3 linked regions of the Lepisosteus oculatus genome follow. The protein of the gene in region 2 purifies or fractionates together with the protein of the main gene of each other region. This does not show direct contact. Links are inferred from orthologs where the notes say so. Each region holds a gene or a part of one and is shown on either strand. Other genes may lie near its edges.

What was found.
Region 1: the proteins of ppp4cb (region 2) and ptpa purify together in Homo sapiens (affinity purification with mass spectrometry; 3 studies listed by BioGRID and IntAct, with this or other methods). This does not show direct contact. The link is inferred for Lepisosteus oculatus from reciprocal best matches to the Homo sapiens genes PPP4C and PTPA.
Region 3: the proteins of ppp4cb (region 2) and cct8 purify together in Homo sapiens (affinity purification with mass spectrometry; 3 studies listed by BioGRID and IntAct, with this or other methods). This does not show direct contact. The link is inferred for Lepisosteus oculatus from reciprocal best matches to the Homo sapiens genes PPP4C and CCT8.

What each region holds. Positions count from the first base shown.
Region 1 is NC_090719.1:2,588,130-2,595,883, reverse strand, and holds the start of ptpa (serine/threonine-protein phosphatase 2A activator), read right to left. Parts: upstream 3,025-7,754; 5' UTR 2,942-3,024; coding exon 2,917-2,941; intron 1-2,916. Other genes in the region: crata (carnitine O-acetyltransferase), read left to right, coding at 3,863-3,889, 5,097-5,375, 6,296-6,414. UniProt on the Homo sapiens protein: PPIases accelerate the folding of proteins. It catalyzes the cis-trans isomerization of proline imidic peptide bonds in oligopeptides. Acts as a regulatory subunit for serine/threonine-protein phosphatase 2A (PP2A).
Region 2 is NC_090699.1:2,941,035-2,948,252, reverse strand, and holds the start of ppp4cb (serine/threonine-protein phosphatase 4 catalytic subunit B), read left to right. Parts: upstream 1-4,128; 5' UTR 4,129-4,728; intron 4,729-7,218. UniProt on the Homo sapiens protein: Protein phosphatase that is involved in many processes such as microtubule organization at centrosomes, maturation of spliceosomal snRNPs, apoptosis, DNA repair, tumor necrosis factor (TNF)-alpha signaling, activation of c-Jun N-terminal kinase MAPK8, regulation of histone acetylation, DNA damage checkpoint signaling, NF-kappa-B activation and cell migration.
Region 3 is NC_090700.1:19,416,062-19,423,196, forward strand, and holds the start of cct8 (T-complex protein 1 subunit theta), read right to left. Parts: upstream 3,025-7,135; 5' UTR 2,939-3,024; coding exon 2,879-2,938; intron 1,500-2,878; coding exon 1,409-1,499; intron 1,113-1,408; coding exon 1,033-1,112; intron 192-1,032; coding exon 42-191; intron 1-41. UniProt on the Homo sapiens protein: Component of the chaperonin-containing T-complex (TRiC), a molecular chaperone complex that assists the folding of actin, tubulin and other proteins upon ATP hydrolysis.

The DNA of each region.
Region 1 (7,754 bases), on a different chromosome or scaffold from region 2:
GGGCATTAGGGCCCACAAAGACTGCAGGGAGAGCGCCCTCTACTGGCCCCACTAACACCTCTTCCAGCAGCAACCTCAGTTTTTCCCAGGAGGTCTCCCATCCAGGTACTGGCCAGGCTCACACCTGCTGAGCTCCAGTGGGGCTGCCAGTGGTGAGTCGCAGGGAGCTCTGACTGCTGGTACAGGAGTGAGAGTCTGGCAGTGTGGGGCAGTCTGTGGAAGAGAGCGTCGAGCTGAACGTGGCACAGAGAAAGAAAGGCAGGTTGACAAAGTGCGAGTCAGCCACGCGACCTCCATCCACCCACTTCCGATCTGCTTCATGCAATCCAGGGTCGCAGTGGAGCCGGAGCCTCGGGCTCAAGGCGGGACACAGCCTGAACGCGACACCAGTCCACCGCAGCTGCATAACAAAGGGGGACTCGTAACTTCCACCCCGGAGTCGCTTTCAAAACGGCAGGTGACGCACAAAATGCATGCCCCTTAGGGCTGCGAACCTGATCGCCAACACGCATAAATAAAATATGAGCTTTATTATTCCTTCTGTTATTTTGGCACGCTCGATGACATGCATTAAAGGGGGGGCAAGATTGGCAAGTGCAGAGCAGCTCGGTATTAGAGTTACAGGGCCAGAATTCCCAATGTGCTGGTGTGAGGGCAACACCCTCCCCAGCTAGCAGTTCAGCCTACAGCCTCCCGATTCATCGAATCCACTGCAAAATAATCATTTCTTTTTTTTTTTCAATATACCGCCGCAGTGATGTTTTCTCTCCTCAGTTGAGGAAAGGGGGCCGGCGCCATTCCCTCCTCTGCGTCCTCAGAACCCCAGCAAGCAGCGGGCACTCAGAGAGGATGATCCAGCAGTCACGGATCCAGCTGCGAGCCGTTTTCGGAAACCGAGGCACCAGACTGATGCAGCCCGATCCAACAAAAACTACGACCGCTGTAGAAACGGACACGCCCCCCCACAAGATAAACCGAAGTCCAAACAAGGTGTCAAATCACTTAAGTCATGACTCAGCACTGGAGATGTAGAGCTCATGAAGACCCACAGACACAGTGTTCCTCCACTCCCCTCTTCTGGGTACAAGGGATCAGACCTGGGCAGCATACAGCACCTTAAGGACTGAACACCTAACGAAATAAACAGGACACCTTTACTCAACGACGGGCATCAAACCTGCCTTGAGCAAGAAAGACAAAAAGAGATTTCGGGTACAAACTCAAGGAAAATTCAAGGATAAGGTGTTTTGTGGAACTGAGCGTGGGCCTGCACAAACACACCAGAGGAATAAGAGGACCCAAACAACCCAACAACAAGTGTTCAGCAAGCAACTATTGTGGAGAACTGTCATGACAAGGGAATCTTATTCCGATTCTGTTCCTGGGAGCGTTTCCACTGGCCCATGATCCAACAGCCATGGCTTGTCAGACAGGCTAGACCGATACAGCCCTGATGCTGTAGAAACAGACACCCCTCTCCCATCGGGAGACCAACACGTCTCTCGCATGCGAGAGGAAATCAGACACAAAGCGCCCTGCAGCTCTGACACCAAACCACAGCTGTCACCTCCTGCACGCGAGAAAACAACAGGATTTCTGGTTTGGTTTGGCGAAACAAAGCCCTTGATCCAGGAAAAAAAACCCAAAACACTTGCCGACGTTCAGAAACAATCTCAACCGTCCCTAACCGTGAAAGAGCTGCATCTTGAGTGGAGTGTTGCATGAAGTCACCTACGTTTAGTTCCAAACTAGATATTTGTCCCAGGCTCACCTCCTGTACAAAATGCTGGTAATAAATTTTGCTTAGACATTATCAAACGTCCACAATAGCAGGTCCTTCCTGCCACTAAGTCAAGCACAGTAGCTGTGTACATAATAAGGGAACTAGATGAAATCAAACGTATGATTGTTGTGTAATACGGTGCAGCCTTGTCCAATGCACACAATAAGCACAGTGTCACTGTCAAACAGCAGTCTTCTGAGGCAGTTACATCAATCGCAAATGCTTTTTCTTAACGTTTGTTGGCGTGCCCACTGTTTTTATCTCCCATTCTCGGTGGGACACTGACAGCACATCCCCAAAACACAACGCGGACACACTCGTCGGTCCAGGACAGTGATGGGGTGCGTTTACGAGCTAGGTCTTAAAAACCTCCAACTTCATTCAAGAATACAGCCCAGGTCCACGATTTCGCAAGCAAACGATGAACTCATTGCCTCGTAAAACAACTAGCTTCATTTCTACCACAGGGCAAAGAAAAAAAGTTGGAAAAACTCGCTCCGAGAGAGACGAGAAGTCGCCGTTCGTGAAAAGTGAATTATTATTTTTTTTAATTAAGGCGGCTGGCGCTGCTCCGAGTCTCTCTCTCTCCTCGTTGGTTAGCGGCCACTTCCTCGCTGATGCTAAACGTACGTACCGCGTTTCTAAACGATTTAAAAAAAATTACTTGCCGGCCACCGCTACAAATAACGCATTTTAAGGTAGCCGAATAGTGGCCTGTCGGTTTTCATTCCCAGGAAACCGCAACACCCGCGGAGACCGGACCGGTGATGCAGGCGGTACCGACAGGCTCCTAGCCCCGAGAACCGGGGGCTGGGGGGGCTCCCCTCCACCCTCCCTGGGCGACAGCCCTTCCAGGCGAGCCCCCGGAAACCCCACCTCGGCGGGGAAATGAGAAAAGGTGCCCCCCGCCAAACGTTTAAAAAAAAAACCCGAGAGCGGAGCCGAAGGAGATCCCAGTCCGCCGGGATGTCGATTTCGGCTGCAGTTGTACTACTCTGTGGTAGGAGGGGGTTAAAAGTTTCCCTTTATTTCTGAAGACCCCCCCCCTCCTCCGGACGGCCCACTGAGGGTTGACAAGGGCCCCCGCGCCTCCCTGTCAACAGCCCCCGGCGTGCACGGAGCCGTCAGCTTACCTGACGACTGCTCGGTCTCCGCCATGTTTCCAAGAGAGGCGAGGCAGCACGGGCGAGCCGACCTTTCACCTTTGACCCGTGTCGTATTTTGTTTTGGGTCACACGCCGCGAGCGCACCGCAGAGCGCCGGCGTCGCCTCGTTCTGTCTTCAGAGATTTTAGGAACAGTGGAGCTGCACCGCTTTAGCACCGTGTGCTGAGAGGAAACCACGTTCTTGCGGGGGTAAAAACACGGTCTCGGAGGAGTGAAATCGAGGCCTTTCCGAAGCCCTAAGATACAGTTACAGCACTGTAGGGTCACTATTTTAAATTGTTGTAGGACGTGCTGAAATGCAGTAGATATTCAATATATTAAACCTACACTAATGTTTTGCACCCTTTGCAAAAAATCCATATTAAATTTTTGCATACAACACTTGTATCTATTAATGCAATATATAAAATACTTATTTTCATAAAGGTGTTTACGTACATGGAACACGTGTTTACTCCACGCTTCCTGAAATGTTTTTTGAGTTACTGATATTTTTGTGGAGAAAGTTGTATTTTTCTGTAAAATATTATGAGAGCAACGGTGCATCGTATTATTGGTTGTGTTAAAATAATCTCCCATCACGCCCCCCCCCTCCCCCCCAAAAAAAAGAAATATCCATTTACATCTGCTAAATTATCTAGAACAGGGACAAAAACAAAGTTCAATGTTCAATACTGGACGGTTAGCTTTAAAAACACGACTCTCCAGGTCGAATGTATTGTGCGTCACAGAAGCGAAGTCGCCGGATGTTTGCGTCATTGCGGGGCAAGTTGAGCCCTGGCTGTCCATGATTTTGCGGGGCACATTTTATCAACAGGAGGGTAATGTGCAGCATTGTAACCTGCCCGTCCTTGAAGCTTGACAGCCAGAGAGAGCCGGTCACTCCTGTACTTTGGGGGCGTTTCTGCGAAATATGCTGGGTTTTTTAGCCAGAGCGATGGTGAGTAAGCACGACACGCAAGACACGCGGGGGGGTTCCTTATTTTGTACATCTCCGAATGTGGATTGTGTCGCTTGAATTTATCCCAGGCGTTTTCAGCGCTAGAAAACGGCTTTATAAAGCGAAAACGAAAGGGGCGAAAAACTCAAAAAGAGCTCTTCTGTGTTTACAACGTAGCTGCGGTAACGTCTCTCGCGAAAACTCGCCACTGTAAGAGGCTCGGAGCTGTGACAGACCGACTTTTCTGCGCAACTCGCAAACATGGTACATTTTGTGGTATTTAACCGAAGCCTTCGCGGTTCTCGAGGCTGTAATATTCCGTAATAATTGACTAGCCCGTCGTTTTCTTCTTTCTAGGAGGGAGTTTGTCCAGTGCCTTGAACCCAGTGACAGTTGCACGCAGTTGTGTACAGTTTGAATGCAGCTCCGTGTCGCGTCGTTTTAATATCGCTGTTGCCAACGACTGTGCGTTTAATAACGTGTCGTAAACGTCGCATTGTACTGGCGGTTAACAACATGTGAAGGTTATTTTTTAGAAGTTGTGAGGGGGGGAGGGTCGCTTTTTATTGCGGGATGTTATTTATGGTTCTCGTGCGGTGTGCCAGGTCCTCGGTCTCGAACCCTGCTGTGGCTCGCGCCGGTGTCGGGTGTCCTGCCCACCCGTGTGCGTGTGTGTGTGTGTGGGAGCTGTTCTGCACCTCGTCGCTAAAAGCGAGGATTCACATTGCTGGAAACTCTCTGTCCAAAGTCCAAATGGGGACACGCAAGACCAGAGGGCGAGTGTTTAATGTATAATCCGGGGCCGACGTCGGGATTTCTTCTGCGAGCGTGTGGCAAAGTCCTCTTGAAAATAAAATCCCCCCCGGCAGTGAAACAGCTGCTATCTCCCTGGAGGAACCGGGATTCTAACGGGGAGGGGGGAGGGTCTCGCCTCTGGGTGGGGAAACTGGACTGTCACCCCCATAACTTGGTTTTTGGGGTTGGGCAGCCGGTTAACCTTTGACCCCCCAGAGGGGGTGTTGTTCTCCTTCCAGAGGAGGTCTTGGTTCCTCTCCTCCGTTGTCTTCTGGCTTCTTCTCTTTCTGTATTACGACGTTATGTACCGTCGCACGGCTTTGTTAAGCACCTTGGGGCCACCTTGTTGTGAAAGGCGCTATATTAAAAGTAATTGAATTGAATTGAATGGAATGGAATTTTTTTTTTGCAGGCTAAGCAGGCCGCGTGGAAGCCCGCGGCCCTGGTGAGTCCCGTGTCGGTGACCCGGATCCCCGGCCGGTACCTGGCGCACCAGGAGGGGCTCCCCAAGCTGCCGGTGCCGCCCCTGCGGCAGACCCTGGAGCGCTACCTGCTGGCCCTGCGGCCCGTCGTGAGCGCCGAGGAGCTGGAGCACACCCGCGGCCTGGTCGAGGACTTCCAGCGGCCCGGGGGCGTGGGCGAGAGGCTGCAGAGGGGCCTGGAGCGCCGCGCCCGCAAGATGGAGAACTGGGTCAGTGCAGCTGGACGTCCTGAGCAGGCCTCGAAGCATTGCCCTCTGTCCTCCCGTCTTCCCTCGTTTCAGACGGGTGAAGTCCAGGCGTTCGATAAGTCGCAAGTTTAATAACGCTAAACTGTTAGCCTCCGTTTCCTCCTCCTTCCAGAGATGCGCTGGCTGGGTCGGGGGTTTCCTTGAATTGTCTGTGCATATGTTTGTGCATGTGTGTGCGCATCAATATGTGCGTCTGTATGTACATGTGTGTGCGTCAGTGTGCTCGTCAATGTGTGCATCAGTGTGCGCGTCTGTATGTACACGTGTGTCTGCCCTGTGGTGGGCCAGTCCAGGGTGTAGTCCTGTCTCCTGCCCCCTAGGCTGCGCCGACACTCACCAGGAATAATCGGCTTTCTGGTCATCTCTGATAATGAACTGATGGATGTAGAGGGATTTCAGGCTTCCCTGTCGAACAGTGGCATGATGCAGGTTTTCAGATCTTGCACAGCACATGTAGTTTTTGTGTTGTAGCAGATATCTTTGGATGAATGAAATTAAAAAAGCCTCCTGGCTCAGCTTTTCTGATGCAGTTCTTTATTTCGTTTTAACTGGGGGTAAGCTCAGAGGTGAACGACTCTAAGATATCAGGGCTTATAAGTAGCACGTTCTCGGGGACTGCAGGGTCAGTCGCTTCGTGCTTTCTGCGTCTCTCATGGTGCACATCCCTTCGGCGCTCCGGTCTGTTCTCTGGCAGTCGTAACAAGAGTAGGACATTCTACCACACGCCGGGCCAGAACCGAGATCAAGGGCGAACCGAGTTCTGGTTCTGCTCTGCCTGTACGAAAGACTAGCTGTGACTGTTTGTGAGCTGGTGTGCAGAGAGATATCGGACTGTAACTGTGCGCGGGGGGGCCTGATTGTGTGTGTGTCTCTCCCTGCAGCTCTCGGACTGGTGGCTCCAGACTGCCTACCTGGAGTACCGGATGCCTGTGGTGATCCACTCCAGCCCTGGGGTGGTCCTGCCGCGTGCAGAGTTTCACGATCGCCAGGGACAGATACGGTGAGTCCAACAGGATGCCGGTTCAAAAGGGCGAGGGGGGTGGGACCGGGTGGGGGGGCTGGGCAGACGAGCTGTTCTCTGCGGCCTTTCTCCTGTCTCTCCATCCCCCATCTTTCCAAAGTAAAATTGCAAAATGGTTTCATTTGATATTTCTTTATCATTCCTGGTTTCCAGTTTGCTGAAGACCTCAGTCACGCGAAGAAAATCATATAGAATAAAAAGAAAAGGTCTCTGCTCTTGCTGGCTCCCATTTCCCAGTGGGTCTCCTCACAGAGAAGGACAGTTCTTCATTCCCCAGCCTAAAAAGCAGTTTCCTAATAAGTGCTCTCGGGGCTCTTAAGAATTCCTCACGTTGAGCTAATTAGCATTATTTATCATAGTAGGAGCCTTGTCTCGTTGAGAGGCATTTCTTCTGAAGGGATCTAAAGTAAAAAAAAAACTGCCCAGGTTTTTAACTAATCTAGTCAAGGCCTGGTGCATAAAACTATAGGTGACTACTTAAAATTGCTGCCTGTCTTGGTTCGACATTAGACTCTCCTCATTTCAGTCAGTTCTTTGGAGAAATTAAGACTAGGTCTGAGCCAGGGACTAGTGCGCAACGCTAAAGCTACAGAGGTTTAGCCTCATTCCTGAGCCATCTCTCGCTTGAACTCGGTGTTACCATGGCAACCCCAGAGTGTCAGGAACCAAGCTCCTGCTACTGGGGGCACAGGAGAGAGCCAGCATCCAGAGATCGGCAGTGAAAGGCGCTGCAAGTTGAACTTTAATGTTGGAAAGCGTGAATTCTCAGCACAATGACATGTATTCACACATGCGCCGTCTTCCTCTAGTTTAGTGTCCCATTTTGATGAATGCACTTCAGCTGTTGCGTTTTTTCCCCCACATCGAATTAATTACGTTTCCTTTTTATTCTCCTGCCCGTGAAATGATTTCACGTTTTGCTGTTTCAGTAAAGACAGGCGTTAAGATAAACATTAGTTCACAAGTCACTCGCCTTTGGGGGAAAGGGAGGGCATTAATAAAGCCCGTTTCTACTTGAAGGATGGAAATTGCCTGGGTGTTGTTTGTCGTCCCCTCTGCCAGCAGTAGCCATGGAAGCTGTTTAATCAGAGCTACAGACCATGACCTTTGCACAGGCTCACCTCTCACACAGTTGACTATTTTAAGCGCATGAGCTGTTCTGGGCAGCACCAGGGAAGGACCTCAGCAGAGTCTCTGAGCACAGAGAACGCTGTGTCAACAGTCCACCGAACAGATAATAACCGTGGCTTGGTAGCAAACTGGAAACACGCTCTCGGATGGATTATTGAACAAAGCCCCAGAGTGAGATCACTCATCAG
Region 2 (7,218 bases):
GAAGATGGCAGGAGGCCACAGGAGTATTGGGACAGCAAGTTTTACTTGCCGAGTACCAGATTTTAATGGGTGGTTTGATCCCAGATCTATTGGGTTGAAATATTATGCATTACAAAGAATGACTATGCAGAACAGGGTATCACGTGGCTTCAACTGGCTGTGATCACTCAGTATGTTGATGGTATTCTGAGTGCTTCCCCTGACGAGGAAACCCACAAGTCTGAGTTGCTTCAGCTTTAGAGTGTCTAATAGAAGCAGTTATGATAAGGCCCTTTTGTGTCTAGCATTGTGAAATTTTAACAGGGCCTGGGTAATATGTTTTTTGCAGGGTGAGCACAACTCTTAACAGATCTGCTTAAGGGGGGAGTGCAGTACAAGGACAAGATTGCCTTGGTTCCTGCAGCAAAAGCCGCCTTTAATAATTTGAAACAAGTTCTCTTACAGGTGCTGAGACTGGGGTTTCCTCAGAGGGATCAACCATTCCTTTGTATTATTGCAAGTAGCTGACAGAGGCCACCCAAGGAGCCCGCGAGCAGGTCCTGGAGGCGTGGGGACCACCACCTGAAGGAGGGCACAAGCTCATCCCAGGAGAGTGGGTGTGGATCAGGAAATTTCCTTCACAGGTTCTCCAGCCCAGGTGGGATCCAGATCCTGTTGACAACCGAGTCTGCGGTTCGAGTGGAAGGAAAAGATCGCTGGATCCACGCGCCACACTGCCGACGAGCCTCATCCCCATTTACAGACTCAGAATGAAATCATTTCTGTTTATAACAATAATTGTTGCTGTAGGACTATGTTCCGCAGGGATTCATGATCATCTCTCCCACAAAGGAGAACATGGAATTAATTCCTTTTTAGGCCTCTCCTATCTGACAGCTAAGAAAACCAACCAAAGTGCCTGCTGGGTGTGTGCCGCATTACCCAAATATGTACAGGGAGGACTTCCTATGGGAGCCATTACTTGGCGTCGCGAGGAAGTCATAGGCATGATCATTTGGAGGGATAATTTAGGAGATTTTAATATGACAAACTATGGGGGTTGCCATAACACGACTTTAACCTGCACAACATTACAGTATCTACAGGAGCGAGGCTTAGAGCCCACGAGTTTCACAGGCTCTTACGCTCCTAAATATAACAGAAGCCATACACCACCATACCTGACTCTCAATAAGGAACGTGAGGGAAACATATGTTTTCAGCACACTAATTGGTCTGCACTTGGTTGGATGGAGTCGTTGCAACCTTACCAGCGCTGCAAATATATCCACCTCTACCTCCCAAATTCCAGGATGGGATCGGCACACCCCACAATTCGGTATAAGCTTCTTATTTTCAGAGGCATGGGGAGCGCCAAACGGAACATATTTCATTTGTGGAAAACGAGCCTACCCATGGCTGCCAGCCCAGTGGTCTGGCTCATGTTATTTAGGATATGTGGTTCCTCATATCCGTGTTCAAACCCACAGCCCCTTCGGACCTAACCACAGACCACAAAGAAAATTGGCTGATTGGGAATATTATTTAGGTATAATATTTCCACAAGCCGGCATGAACTTTCTGAGTCGAGAGTTAATTCAAATGGCCTCGACTTTAGAAGAATTAGCAAAGTCTACCTCATCTAGTCTGAAGGCTGTTAATGATGAGATGGTAGCCCTCAGAACAGTGGCCATGCAGAACCGACTAGCTTTAGATTATGTACTGGCGGCCCAAGGAGGAACTTGTGCAGTAATTGGCACTGAATGCTGCACATATATTCCTGATAATTCTGAGCACATCTCAGATCTGGCCCAACACATTTACAATGAGGGACAGAAATATCAGGACTATTATACTGAAAATTGGGGAATTGGGTTTTGGGTAAAGTCTGTGTTTGGGGCCTGGGGTGGAACCTTTTTATAGTGTTTATCTGTAGGAGTAGTATTGTTTATATGTATAATTGTAATCATCACGTGCACAAAAACATGTATCACATCTTGCCATAACCGTGGAACGTACAATGTCATGGCAATACATACCTGTTCGCCAAGAAAGGAAAGATCTGCCCTGACATTGTATGTATAAAATAGGCTACACTGACGTATGCCATATTTTATAAGGGGGGAATGAAGAAAGATGTGAAGACGGGGGTTTGAATTTAATCTTTTCTGTAGGGGGTTTAGACTTCCAAGTCACAAGCTGGGGTTTATGGCAGGAAAGGGGGTTCACTGATAAGGAGTGCAGATGCCAGCTAGGAACCCCCCTGGGTGTAATGTTAAACTGACCATTTGCCCAGAACATCGTAAACTGGCCAAATACCATGAACCCCCCTCTTTACCATCAGACCGAGTGACGTCAGAAACGGAGAAGAAGACACTATATAACCCAAAAGTTTGTAACAATACGGAGAACAATACTTCGGTTTTGTTGTTTCTTGCGGGAAACAAGACTTCGGCTTTATTGTTCCTTGCATGCAATAAACTCATCTGTTTCACTTCATCTCGGGATCAAGAACCTTATTTCTTCTGTTACAACAAAATCCTGTAGCCGGCAGAGGAATCCTACTCTGTTAGGCTCCTGAGCGAGGCCCTTCACCCCAACTGCTCCAGGGGCACTGTACAATGGCTGACCCTGCGCTCTGACCCCAGGCTCTCTCTCTGTCTGTGTGTCTCATGGAGAGCAAGCTGGGGTATGTGAAAAGATCATTCCTAATGCAAGAAATTGTGAAGGGTTAATAAAGTGATGATGTTGATGTTGTTGATTATTATTTCCTCTCTGGACAGCCAGGTCTGCCTGTGTCCAGTGTGTATTTCCAGGCTGTGTCTCTGAGCCTGTCCTCTCTGGACAGCCAGGTCTGCCTGTGTCCAGGCTGTGTCTCTGAGCCTGTCCTCTCTGGGCAGCCAGGTCTGCCTGTGTCCAGTGTGTGTGTCCAGGCTGTGTCTCTGAGCCTGTCCTCTCTGGACAGCCAGGTCTGCCTGTGTCCAGTGTGTGTGTCCAGGCTGTGGTCTCTGAGCCTGTCCTCTCTGGACAGTCAGGTCTGCCTGTGTCCAGTGTGTGTGTCCAGGCTGTGGTCACTGAGCCTGTCCTCTCTGGGCAGCCAGGTCTGCCTGTGTCCAGTGTGTGTGTCCAGGCTGTGTCTCTGAGCCTGTCCTCTCTGGACAGCCAGGTCTGCCTGTGTCCAGTGTGTGTGTCCAGGCTGTGTCACTGAGCCCGTCCTCTCTGGACAGCCAGGTCTGCCTGTGTCCAGTGTGTGTGTCCAGGCTGTGTCACTGAGCCCGTCCTCTCTGGACAGCCAGGTCTGCCTGTGTCCAGTGTGTGTGTCCAGGCTGTGTCTCTGAGCCTGTCCTCTCTGGACAGCCAGGTCTGCCTGTGTCCAGTGTGTGTGTGTCCAGGCTGTGTCTCTGAGCCTGTCCTCTCTGGACAGCCAGGTCTGCCTGTGTCCAGTGTGTGTGTCCAGGCTGTGTCTCTGAGCCTGTCCTCTCTGGACAGCCAGGTCTGCCTGTGTCCAGTGTGTGTGTGTCCAGGCTGTGGTCACTGAGCCTGTCCTTGCACAGAGAGTGGTGGGAGTGTGGAACGAGCAGTTGATCACCTGCCAGGCTCGTTCTTTCTGCGCCAGCACCAGCAAAGGGCTTTGTGCCTGCTGGCCCGCAGGGGAGTGTGTGTCCATCTGTCCAGCCTCTCCCTTGACAGACCCCCCTCGCTCCAGTTTGTACCCCACTCTGTACCCCAGGGGTGTCAGCACCGCCTCCTCGCCTGCAGAGAGAGGAGACCCCTCCAGTTTGTACCCCACTCTGTACCCCAGGGGTGTCAGCACCGCCTCCTCGCCTGCAGAGAGAGGAGACCCCTCCAGTTTGTACCCCACTCTGTACCCCAGGGGTGTCAGCACCGCCTCCTCGCCTGCAGAGGGGCTGAGGCTCAGCTCCGGCGCCTTTCGGGCGGGCTGACGTCATCCCAGCCGCGGCGGGCGTCCCCCCCCCCTCCACCGCCCTTGTTGCGTCATTTCCTGCCCCCTGCCCGGCACGGGGCTCGCGCCTTGAGGTTGGCGCTCCGGCGCCATCTTGTGGTTGTTCTCGCCCGTGCGAGCAAGAGCGGGGAGAAAAAACTTTTTTTTTAACGTGTTATTGTTGTTGTTGTTGTTGTTTTTAATTTTTACCAAAATGGAAGAAGGGCTAACTAGTTAATACTAACAGGGCTGTAAGGATGAACACCCCTGGCTTTTCTTAAGCAAAACAAAAAAAAAAACCTCGATTTTCCTGCGTGCTCCGTGACTTATTAAGGAATGGGGTTCAGGTGGCGCTTCAGGCCCGAACCCCTGAACCTCGAATGAGCGACCTCGTTCCCTAACCAGCGCTGCTGCGGGCTGTTAGCAATTTCAACAGGAGCCGGGGGGCTGCCGGCGGTGGCGTCGAGGACCAGAGCGCATATAAGAGGGAGGAGGCGGAGGAGCCGCTGAAACCACAGCCCGTCGGCCGCCGCCGCCAATAATCCCTGCTCTTGCGCGTCCCCGGACGAGTGCCCGTGCCCGGGAGCGAGCCTCGCTCCCGACACCGGAAGCCCTGCGTGCGCGCCGCCGCCGCCGCCGCCGCGCGTCCCCGAGGGCGGAGAGGAAGCGGAGCTCCAGCCGGCCGAGCGCAGCGGGGAGACAGACGCGGATCTGCGCACGACCGGCCTCCCGACTCCCGGACAGAGACGAGTCCGCTGCTATCGGTGCTGCTGCTGCTGCTGCCCTGCCGGCCCCTGGACGCCGAGGTAAGGCCGCTCCCCGGGGGCCGAGGGGTTTCTGAGCCGGTTTGTGTGTATTGGGGGGGCTGGCGGCGGCGGCGGAGGCGCCGGGCCCGGGGGGGGTCGAGTCGCTCCCCGCTCCCGGGCCGGGCCGGGCCGCCGGGCTGGAGGGCCGCTGCTGGAGCGGAGCGGAGCGCCCTGGGCCCCCGGCCGGGCCGCGGCGGCGAGCCGGGCCCCGGCGGGGGGACAGGCCGGGCGGAGGCGGCGAGGAGGCCGAGCGGAGTCGCTCCAAGATGGCGCCGTGAGGCCGCCCGGCTCGCGGAGCCCCGGGGCGGGAGAGCGCGGGAACGCGCGCGTGTACGTGTGTGTGTGTGTCCCGCCGCCGGGACTGGACCGGGCCGAGACTGGACCTGCAGCCGAACCCGGACGAGCCGCTGCCGCCCGGCTGTCTGTGAGACGCGGTGTTGTTTACCGGGGGGTGGACGGGCGGGCCGGTACCGGTACTGGTCCAGGGAGATGGGGGCGATTATAAGGATTCAGGGACTGTCCTGCACCGCAAGTTCCGTTTTCTGGACAAACGTCGGTGGTTCCGACGAGAGAGAGAGGAGCCGGGCAGCAGGGTGTGTGACGGGGGATCTGCCGTGCAGTGGTCGGGGACTGGGGCTGTGTTGATCCGTCGTCTTGACTCGCCTGCCCTGCAGAGCAGATTTCTCCAGCCGGGACAAAGTAAACAAAGTTCCTGCGGCCCGTCTTCCTGGGTCTCACCCATTCACTCACCCACAAGTCTCACCCATTCCTAGTGAGTGTTCAGTGTTTCTGGGGTCTGTGTGTCTGGAGAGCCCCTCACAGCGCAGGGACTGGTCTCCTCTACCTGTGAGGAGCCCCTGCTCTCCTGCTGGGGTCTGTGTGTCTGGAGAGCCCCTCACAGCGCAGGGACTGGTCTCCTCTACCTGTGAGGAGCCCCTGCTCTCCTGCTGGGGTCTGTGTGTCTGGAGAGCCCCTCACGGCGCAGGGACTGGTCTCCTCTACCTGTGAGGAGCCCCTGCTCTCCTGCTGGGGTCTGTGTGTCTGGAGAGCCCCTCACAGCGCAGGGACTGGTCTCCTCTACCTGTGAGGAGCCCCTGCTCTCCTGCTGGGGTCTGTGTGTCTGGAGAGCCCCTCACAGCGCAGGGACTGGTCTCCTCTACCTGTGAGGAGCCCCTGCTCTCCTGCTGGGGTCTGTGTGTCTGGAGAGCCCCTCACAGCGCAGGGACTGGTCTCTACCTGTGAGGAGCCCCTGCTCTCCTGCTGGGGTCTGTGTGTCTGGAGAGCCCCTCTCAGTGCAGGGACTGGTCTCCTCTACCTGTGAGGAGCCCCTGCTCTCCTGCTGGGGTCTGTGTGTCTGGAGAGCCCCTCACAGCGCAGGGACTGATCTCCTCTACCTGTGAGGAGCCCCTGCTCTCCTGCTGGGGTCTGTGTGTCTGGAGAGCCTCTCACAGCGCAGGGACTGGTCTCCTCTAACTGTGAGGAGCCCCTGCTCTCCTGCTGGGGTCTGTGTGTCTGGAGAGCCCCTCACAGCACAGGGACTGGTCTCCTCTACCTGTGAGGAGCCCCTGCTCTCCTGCTGGGGTCTGTGTGTCTGGAGAGCCCCTCACAGCGCAGGGACTGATCTCCTCTACCTGTGAGGAGCCCCTGCTCTCCTGCTGGGGTCTGTGTGTCTGGAGAGCCTCTCACAGCGCAGGGACTGGTCTCTACCTGTGAGGAGCCCCTGCTCTCCTGCTGGGGTCTGTGTGTCTGGAGAGCCCCTCACAGCACAGGGACTGGTCTCCTCTACCTGTGAGGAGCCCCTGCTCTCCTGCTGGGGTCTGTGTGTCTGGAGAGCCCCTCACAGCGCAGGGACTGGTCTCCTCTACCTGTGAGGAGCCCCTGCTCTCCTGTTGGGGTCTGTGTGTCTGGAGAGCCCCTCACAGCGCAGGGACTGGTCTCCTCTACCTGTGAGGAGCCCCTGCTCTCCTGCTGGGGTCTGTGTGTCTGGAGAGCCCCTCACAGCGCAGGGACTGATCTCCTCTACCTGTGAGGAGCCCCTGCTCTCCTGCTGGGGTCTGTGTGTCTGGAGAGCCCCTCACAGCGCAGGGACTGGCCTCTACCTGTGAGGAGCCCCTGCTCTCCTGCTGGGGTCTGTGTGTCTGGAGAGCCCCTCACAGCGCAGGGACTGATCTCCTCTACCTGTGAGGAGCCCCTGCTCTCCTGCTGGGGTCTGTGTGTCTGGAGAGCCCCTCACAGCGCAGGGACTGGTCTCCTCTACCTGTGAGGAGCCCCTGCTCTCCTGCTGGGGTCTGTGTGTGTGTGGAGAGCCCCTCACAGCGCAGGGACTGGTCTCCTCTACCTGTGAGGAGCCCCTGCTCTCCTGCTGGGGTCTGTGTGTCTGGAGAGCCCCTCACAGCGCAGGGACTGGTCTCCTCTACCTGTGAGGAGCCCCTGCTCTCCTGCTGGGGTCTGTGTGTCTGGAGAGCCCCTCACAGGGCAGGGACTGGTCTC
Region 3 (7,135 bases), on a different chromosome or scaffold from region 2:
TCCTAAACTGAAGTGGAAAGTGAGTGATTCTACAGGCTCACCTCAGACACTGACAGTCCCATTCTGAGAAGCTCTTCTGCCAGTTCCAGCAGCGCCCCAGCAAACACCAGAACAAAGTTGGTCCCATCCCCAACCTCCTGCTCTTGCATGTGGGAAGCCATGACGATCATTTTAGCTGCAGGGTGCTGAACCTGGTGGGTGCACAAACAAACAAAAAAAAGATCTTATGCACCTTGTTTCTTCTCCAATTCTCACACTGTACACATGTCACTGAATACCTTTCTCCTGCAATGGGGACTTTTATCAAAAGCTTTTTGACAATCTAAATTTACCAATCTAAATATTATATGCTCCATGTGTTTCATTAATTCTGATACTTGTTCAAAGGACTCTATATTCCATATAGGTAATCCTCTAGGTTAATTCTAATAACTAATTCCATAACCTTACATGTAATAGAATTCAGACTAATTGATCTATAATTATTTGGGTCGGTTTGGGCACTTGTCTTATTGATGGGCACTATTCTACAGTTCATGGGTACTATCCCTGTCTTTTTTTAGATTTCACCATTACAACTCCTCTGCCTTTACAACTATAGCATGAAGACTACCTATTTTATTCATATATTATTTTACGTATTCCTAGCCTGACATACAATGATGGAGACAGCAGTAGCACACTCTCTGCTAGAGTACAAAATATTTAAGCCACAGGGTGAAGTACTACATAGACAGTAAAGGTTTAAAAAAAGGAATACTGGTCCTTACAGGCTAAAAGATATTCTGATTTTGTTCAAAATGATATCTAAATTAATTAAGTCAACCGCCTTGTTAATTGATCATAGATAAATTGTTCCAAACCTTTAGGAATATTACCCATAAAAACTTTTGGACTGGGTTCCACATAACCAGAGTTGGAGATCCATCATTAAGAAATTAAAAGTTTCTGCTGATCTCTGTCTTCGGCTTTTCTCACAAAACACTAGTTAAACAATTAGGAATTAAGGCGGTTCAAAAATGAACTAAATACCTCAAGTTCTCGCAGAATAGTTGCAGCATCATTAGTGACAAAGAGCTTTTCCAAGTGGTTGATGACCATTTTATTCATGCCTGAAAAGAAGTAAAAAGGCCCAGATATTAAAAAACAGAATTCTGCATTCCTATAGATTAATATTTATGTGTACTTTTCTGTAGGCTTATAGCATTAAACACACATCCTGAAAATATCAAATCAGTAGTAGTACACCCAGTCACATCTCTTATTTAAAAAACATTTCAAAATTATTCATTATCCATGTAGGTCTTAAATCACAGAATCTCATAAAAAAATAGACTCAACCTCTATTGTAATATTGTATTGGGCACTGATCAAACATCTGATATTGACAAGCACAGTCCAGACCTACCATTTGGACCGTAGGCTGTCCGTGTGGTCTGTGCCAGCTCTTTGCAGGCCTGAATGTTTCGGAAGACTGCCTCCTCCAACCCAGAGTAGTGCTGAAATGAACAGGTTTTAAAAAATAAAACAACTTATTTAAAACAGCTAGCCTAATGATTAACTGAAAATTGATCTGGTCTGCCCTGCATCTGTGAATGCCACTCCTTTCACTGTCATCACCATAACATTTACTAACAATACAATATTTGTTTTGGGAAGTACTGCAAATAAGAGCTATGTCTATACTGTTGTATATGGGACATTCCATACAGACTGTGCCGTGTTCATGGAGCCTAATTATTCCACTAAAACAGGTTATGGAACCAATGATGACCTAACAGTACTAAGCATATATTGTTCACTTCCACACAGAGGTAGTTCAGCCCCCTGAACACATCTGCCATGTGTCAAGCAATTATTTCTGATGTTAACATTTGGATAGCTGTCTCCTGAACTAGAGTAACTGCATGAAAGTGTGTATAAACAAACTACTGTATGGCTGCAGGCATGTATTCCTGTAAATTATTTATTTTACATAGAGTAACAACTTTAAATCAAATTAGGCTTTGTACTGCTTGTGCCATCTTTATCACCTGTGATCAGACTGCATTAACGTTAAACAACAATGCTTCCAGAAATAGCAGTGATAAAACAATAAGCCCAGCATTTACCATAGATTCAATTACAATTTTGAGTTCGAGTCTACTGCCGCGACACTGCTGTAGAATTGACAACAGTTACGGCAACTTTGCCTGGCAACGCCCTGTAGCATCATGCCGAATACGTTTGTGTTGTATATACAATTGTTACTTGAAGTACAGAAGCGTCTAGCGATTTTAAAACAAGCCCTTCTCTATTATAAATCCGAATTAGTCTGAATTCGGAAAATTCAGTTCATGAAAATCAACTGGCGTATGCTTGGTACTAACTGTTCCTCCATGAACAAAAGCGTTAGCAATAATAATACTACGGATTTTAGCTACATTCCTGTTCGAGAGCTGTTTTAACACCGAATGGCAGCTCCCGAAATATCTCCATGTATGGGTAAAAACGGAGTGTCGTCAATGAATGATTTCCACTACGGCTGCCGTTAGAAAGCACATGTCCCTCGTCTTACTGCATTTAGCTACAGTACAGAAAATGCTTAAAGAGGCACTGATTACACAAATATGCTGCAAGATCGTTTAATAAGTTATGATTTACGAGTTATTCGTGCCACAACAACCTACAATTTCAAAAAGCCCGTACAAAACGAGCAAACGAATGCTATATATCACAATAGGATGAACTAATCTAACTGTGGCCTACACAGGCTTTTTCTAGAAGTGTCCCACATGACACAGCGTCCAACCGCACTTCCCTTGCAATTGATACAAAATTGGACATAAAAGGTCATACATAGGTTAATCTTCAAAACAGATGACTAAATGTTCTTTACCTTTGCACCATCCTTTAACATCTGGGCAAAGCCCGGAGCTTTAGGTACGTGAAGAGCCATATTTCAAGTGGTTTTGCTCCCCGGTACAGACAGAAAAAGAACCGGTGCGTGTGCGGAGAGTCAGAACAATCGAGCTACGAGCAAAGGCGGAGCAGGAAAAGTAAATCGAGTATCGAGTTCATCGCTGTAGCTGGTAGTGGGCTGAACCTGTGGATGTGCGTCAACTCGTATACTTTTCATCATGGGATTAACATCTACCTGTTTTTGTTGATGGTAGATTACACTCGTGATTACTTCGTTTCCATCATTATTAATATTTTTTATTCTTGTAAAAAACGTTATTTAAAAAGGCATACAAGTAATTTTAAAAGAGCAATGCCATGTGTATTATTTTATTAAATTGTTTTAGTGATCTTCAAAGCTTTTCTTATAATTTAAACGTCCATATGTGTATTCATTGAAAGGTGTCCCTACTCACCGTACATTTTGAATATGATCACAATCATAATAGGTAAACTATTTTGTTAATAATGGGTGATATGCTGTATTTGTAACAAGGAATGAAACACTTGTATATTGTAACGCTTACGGCCGACAGGCGCTGTGTAAGAGCCGGCGTACCAGAGCGGGTGACGTCACCGCCCTTCCCTGTGATAGCAGGACCACAGCTACTGGGCTGTGGAGAGATCTCTCTTTGGCTCACGGGGCTAGGTCGCTGCAGAGAGACGCGGAAGTCCCGGGTTCGAGCCCCGGACGGTGCAGGGGCCGACCTAATGCGGCAAGGGCGCCCGCCGGAGCCCCCGTTGCGTTACATTGGTGTCAGAAGTGGGATGGGATAGCCCTTCGCCGGGGACGGCGATTTAAGCGGGGGAGAGTGTAACGCTTACGGCCGACAGGCGCTGTGTAAGAGCCGGCGTACCAGAGCGGGTGACGTCACCGCCCTTCCCTGTGATAGCAGGACCACAGCTACTGGGCTGTGGAGAGATCTCTCTTTGGCTCACGGGGCTAGGTCGCTGCAGAGAGACGCGGAAGTCCCGGGTTCGAGCCCCGGACGGTGCAGGGGCCGACCTAATGCGGCAAGGGCGCCCGCCGGAGCCCCCGTTGCGTTACAATATTAAGGATCAAGTAATAGGTTTATTCCATGCTGAAAAGAGAAGAGAGAAAACACAACGTTTCGCCAGTGGAGTCTTCTTCGGGTGTAAAGTGTGGCACATGATGACACCTGAAGAAGGCTCCACTGCCGAAGTGTTGTGTTTTCTCTCTTCTCTTTTCAGCATGGAATAAACCTATTACTTGCTCCTTTGCAGATTGCGCATGCTGATGCAGCTACCCACCTGAACTACTTATATATTAATCCTTAGAGAAAAGTGCTTTAGCCATTATTAAGCAAATATGTCGTGGTGGGTACCCTCTTGATTTAATTTATGTTTTCTTCTTTAAAATCTGTATTTTATATTGCCTGATGATAATCTATGACTTTAAATTAGTGAAGTTGGACAATATTTTAAAAGAGTGGTATCTCTGATGATTCCCGTGAGATAGGGGTGTCATGTATTACATACTGTATAAATACATATAAAAGGCATAATAACTAGGATAAGATGCAGGCTGATGAGTCAATGATCTTGAGTATTAACTTAATTTTATGCACATAATCACTTCAATCAGTCAATTGAGACATCACTCTCAAACAGATTTAGTGTAATTTTTATTTGTACTGTAGGTACATATCCAGTGACTCATGGCCCAACTAGAACTGGTGGACCATTCAAAGGACCATGGACCTTGTCATAAAACACCTAACCTGGATTTAAAGGTAGCACTTGCAACATTGGTAACAGTCAATTAAACACAGCAGAAAAGGTCACAAATGAGAGCCCACTGAGCTCGTTTGGTTCTCTCTTTCTATAGTCACTTAACCAGTACTTGTTGCACTCTCCTTAGCACGGCACCATAAATTGAGAATTTAGTGTAGCCAATCAATCCTAGCCAACATGTCGAGGGGAGGTGGGAGTACACTGGGGCACCTGTTGAAAATCCACATGAACTTGCAGATGGCATGCAACCAGAATTTATCCTGGATCCCTGAGGCAGCAATACTAACCACTATGCCACCATTTCTTCACTACTGCATGTATAGTTACACATTGTAATTTCTGACTGTTTGGTAGTAAAGGTTAACACTGCCCAGCTCTGGTCATGTGTAAATGATCCTAAATGTTTTCTGAACTCAGCAGTATCTTCAGTTTAGTGCTTGCTGAAGTCAATACACTATGCTAAACAAGTCTGTCTGCAAGAGCGGAGTTCTCTGGATTGCGTCGTATTCTCATCATTCTCACTAGGTACTGCCGTTTGGTATCTATTTACAGTATGTGGTCTATAACCTTAATTTAGTCTTAAATTATCATGTTATGGAAACTCTGAACCTGCTCTATACATTGTAAAAAAGGCATATACTGTAGCACAAGGAGGGCAGTGGAGAATTATTTTTAAAGGTTCCAGAGAGGAAAGCCTTGGAAGAAAGACAACCTCAGAACAAAGGGAGAAGGAAGAGTTTTACAGCAAACATGAAAGCTTTTAAGTATGGCACATAACACTGAATTATTTAAAACGAAACGGCAAGACACTTGAAGAAGAAATGTGATGCAGTCATGAGGATCAATGTAATCAGAGGATTAGTTGTGGAGTGTTTTTTCCCTCCTAACTACTGTAGCAACTATTACATGTCTGGATTGTCCATGCATCAAATCAACTGGACATGGATGAGTCCTGTGGCATCTGTTTGATCTGAACTTGCCTTATATTCTCTTGTTGTTGTTTATGTTCAGTTTGTTTTTTTTCTGGGTCATCATACCATGTCAAAGGCAATGCTTCTGTTAGCCCATTCCTCTATGTAGTATTAATTTACATTTTATTTAAAAAAAAAACATTTTTATCCAGCTGGTCCTTTTCTTTTATATGCCGAATGCGTCAGCAGGGAGCATTGCACTGCAAAGGTTAAGGTTGTGCCCAAGTAATTAGGCAGCCTCTTTCTGGTACACTGCATCATTCCAGAGTTATTGCGTTCAGTCCAGCACAACTATGTCACTCAAAGCTGATTGGAGCTGGAGGCATTTTTCGTGTCTAGAGTCATGCCATCTGAGCAATTTAATTGGAACCCAACTGACAGACAGGGGCATGCCGACAACGTCCCTCAGCTGCCAAGCGCTGTCTGTGTTGTAAGCTATCTCAATGTGAACATGTTCGGAGGCGACTGACTGTGTGCAGTGAAGAGCTTGCTAAGCACCCTTCGTGAGAAGGTTTCTCTCAAGACATCCTTGTGAGCATAAACGGGCATTCCCATCAAAAACCGAAGACAAAATCTAAAGCTCACCCACAAAGAAGGGAGACTAGAGTTTAGAAATACACCAGAGAAAGGACGGTTAGTAGCAATATGCAGTCTTTACCCATCTCTGGTCTTAACTTATGAGTGCTGACAGCAGTTGGCTGTCAGATCTTTTGTTTGTAGGAGAGCAAGGCAAACAAGGCTGGCCCTGGTTTTACCTCACCCTTAGGATTGACTTCCTAAAGGTAAGTCAGTGTGAATTAATATTGCCTTTATCCTTTTGTTATTGGACCCTTATTGAAGTACATACTGTATAAATAAACCATGGCATGATAGATTATTGTATCTGGTTAACTTTCACCCAAAATGTGCCTGTAATGTTTAACACAAAGCATCTTCTCTCCTGAACTGGAAACTCTACTGATTTCTAATCAAGTGTCAGAATACTGTGCTGCTCTGTGCCTACTGAGTTTCATTCTCAGCTTCTAGTAGAGAGTAGTTCCTGCCTTCTCTAGCGAGCATGTGTTTTTTAAATAATTTTTCACTGCTACAGTGCTTTGTTGGCATTGGCAGCTTGCAGTCATTCATTTTGATCTGTTTCAAATATAATATTGTCATTTTCAGATGTAGCTGTTAGTTTAATTTTGACAGGCACAAATTCAAATGGAGCCAAATTAGGTCCCTCCTACTTTGAGAAACTTTCTGTTCTGGAACATTTAATATGACAGTTTGTATTCAAACAAAATTGTCTCTACTCAGAAAATGAGGAGTAACAGTGACAGACTGGCAAGATACACTGTTGCACTTGTTTGTATTTTAATACAATTGATTTATAATAGTAATGTATATTTCAAAATGTGTGTATTCACTGTTTTATCCTGTTTATCAGTGAAGGTACTGTAGTATGTTAAGTTTTTGTCTCTATCCATGTT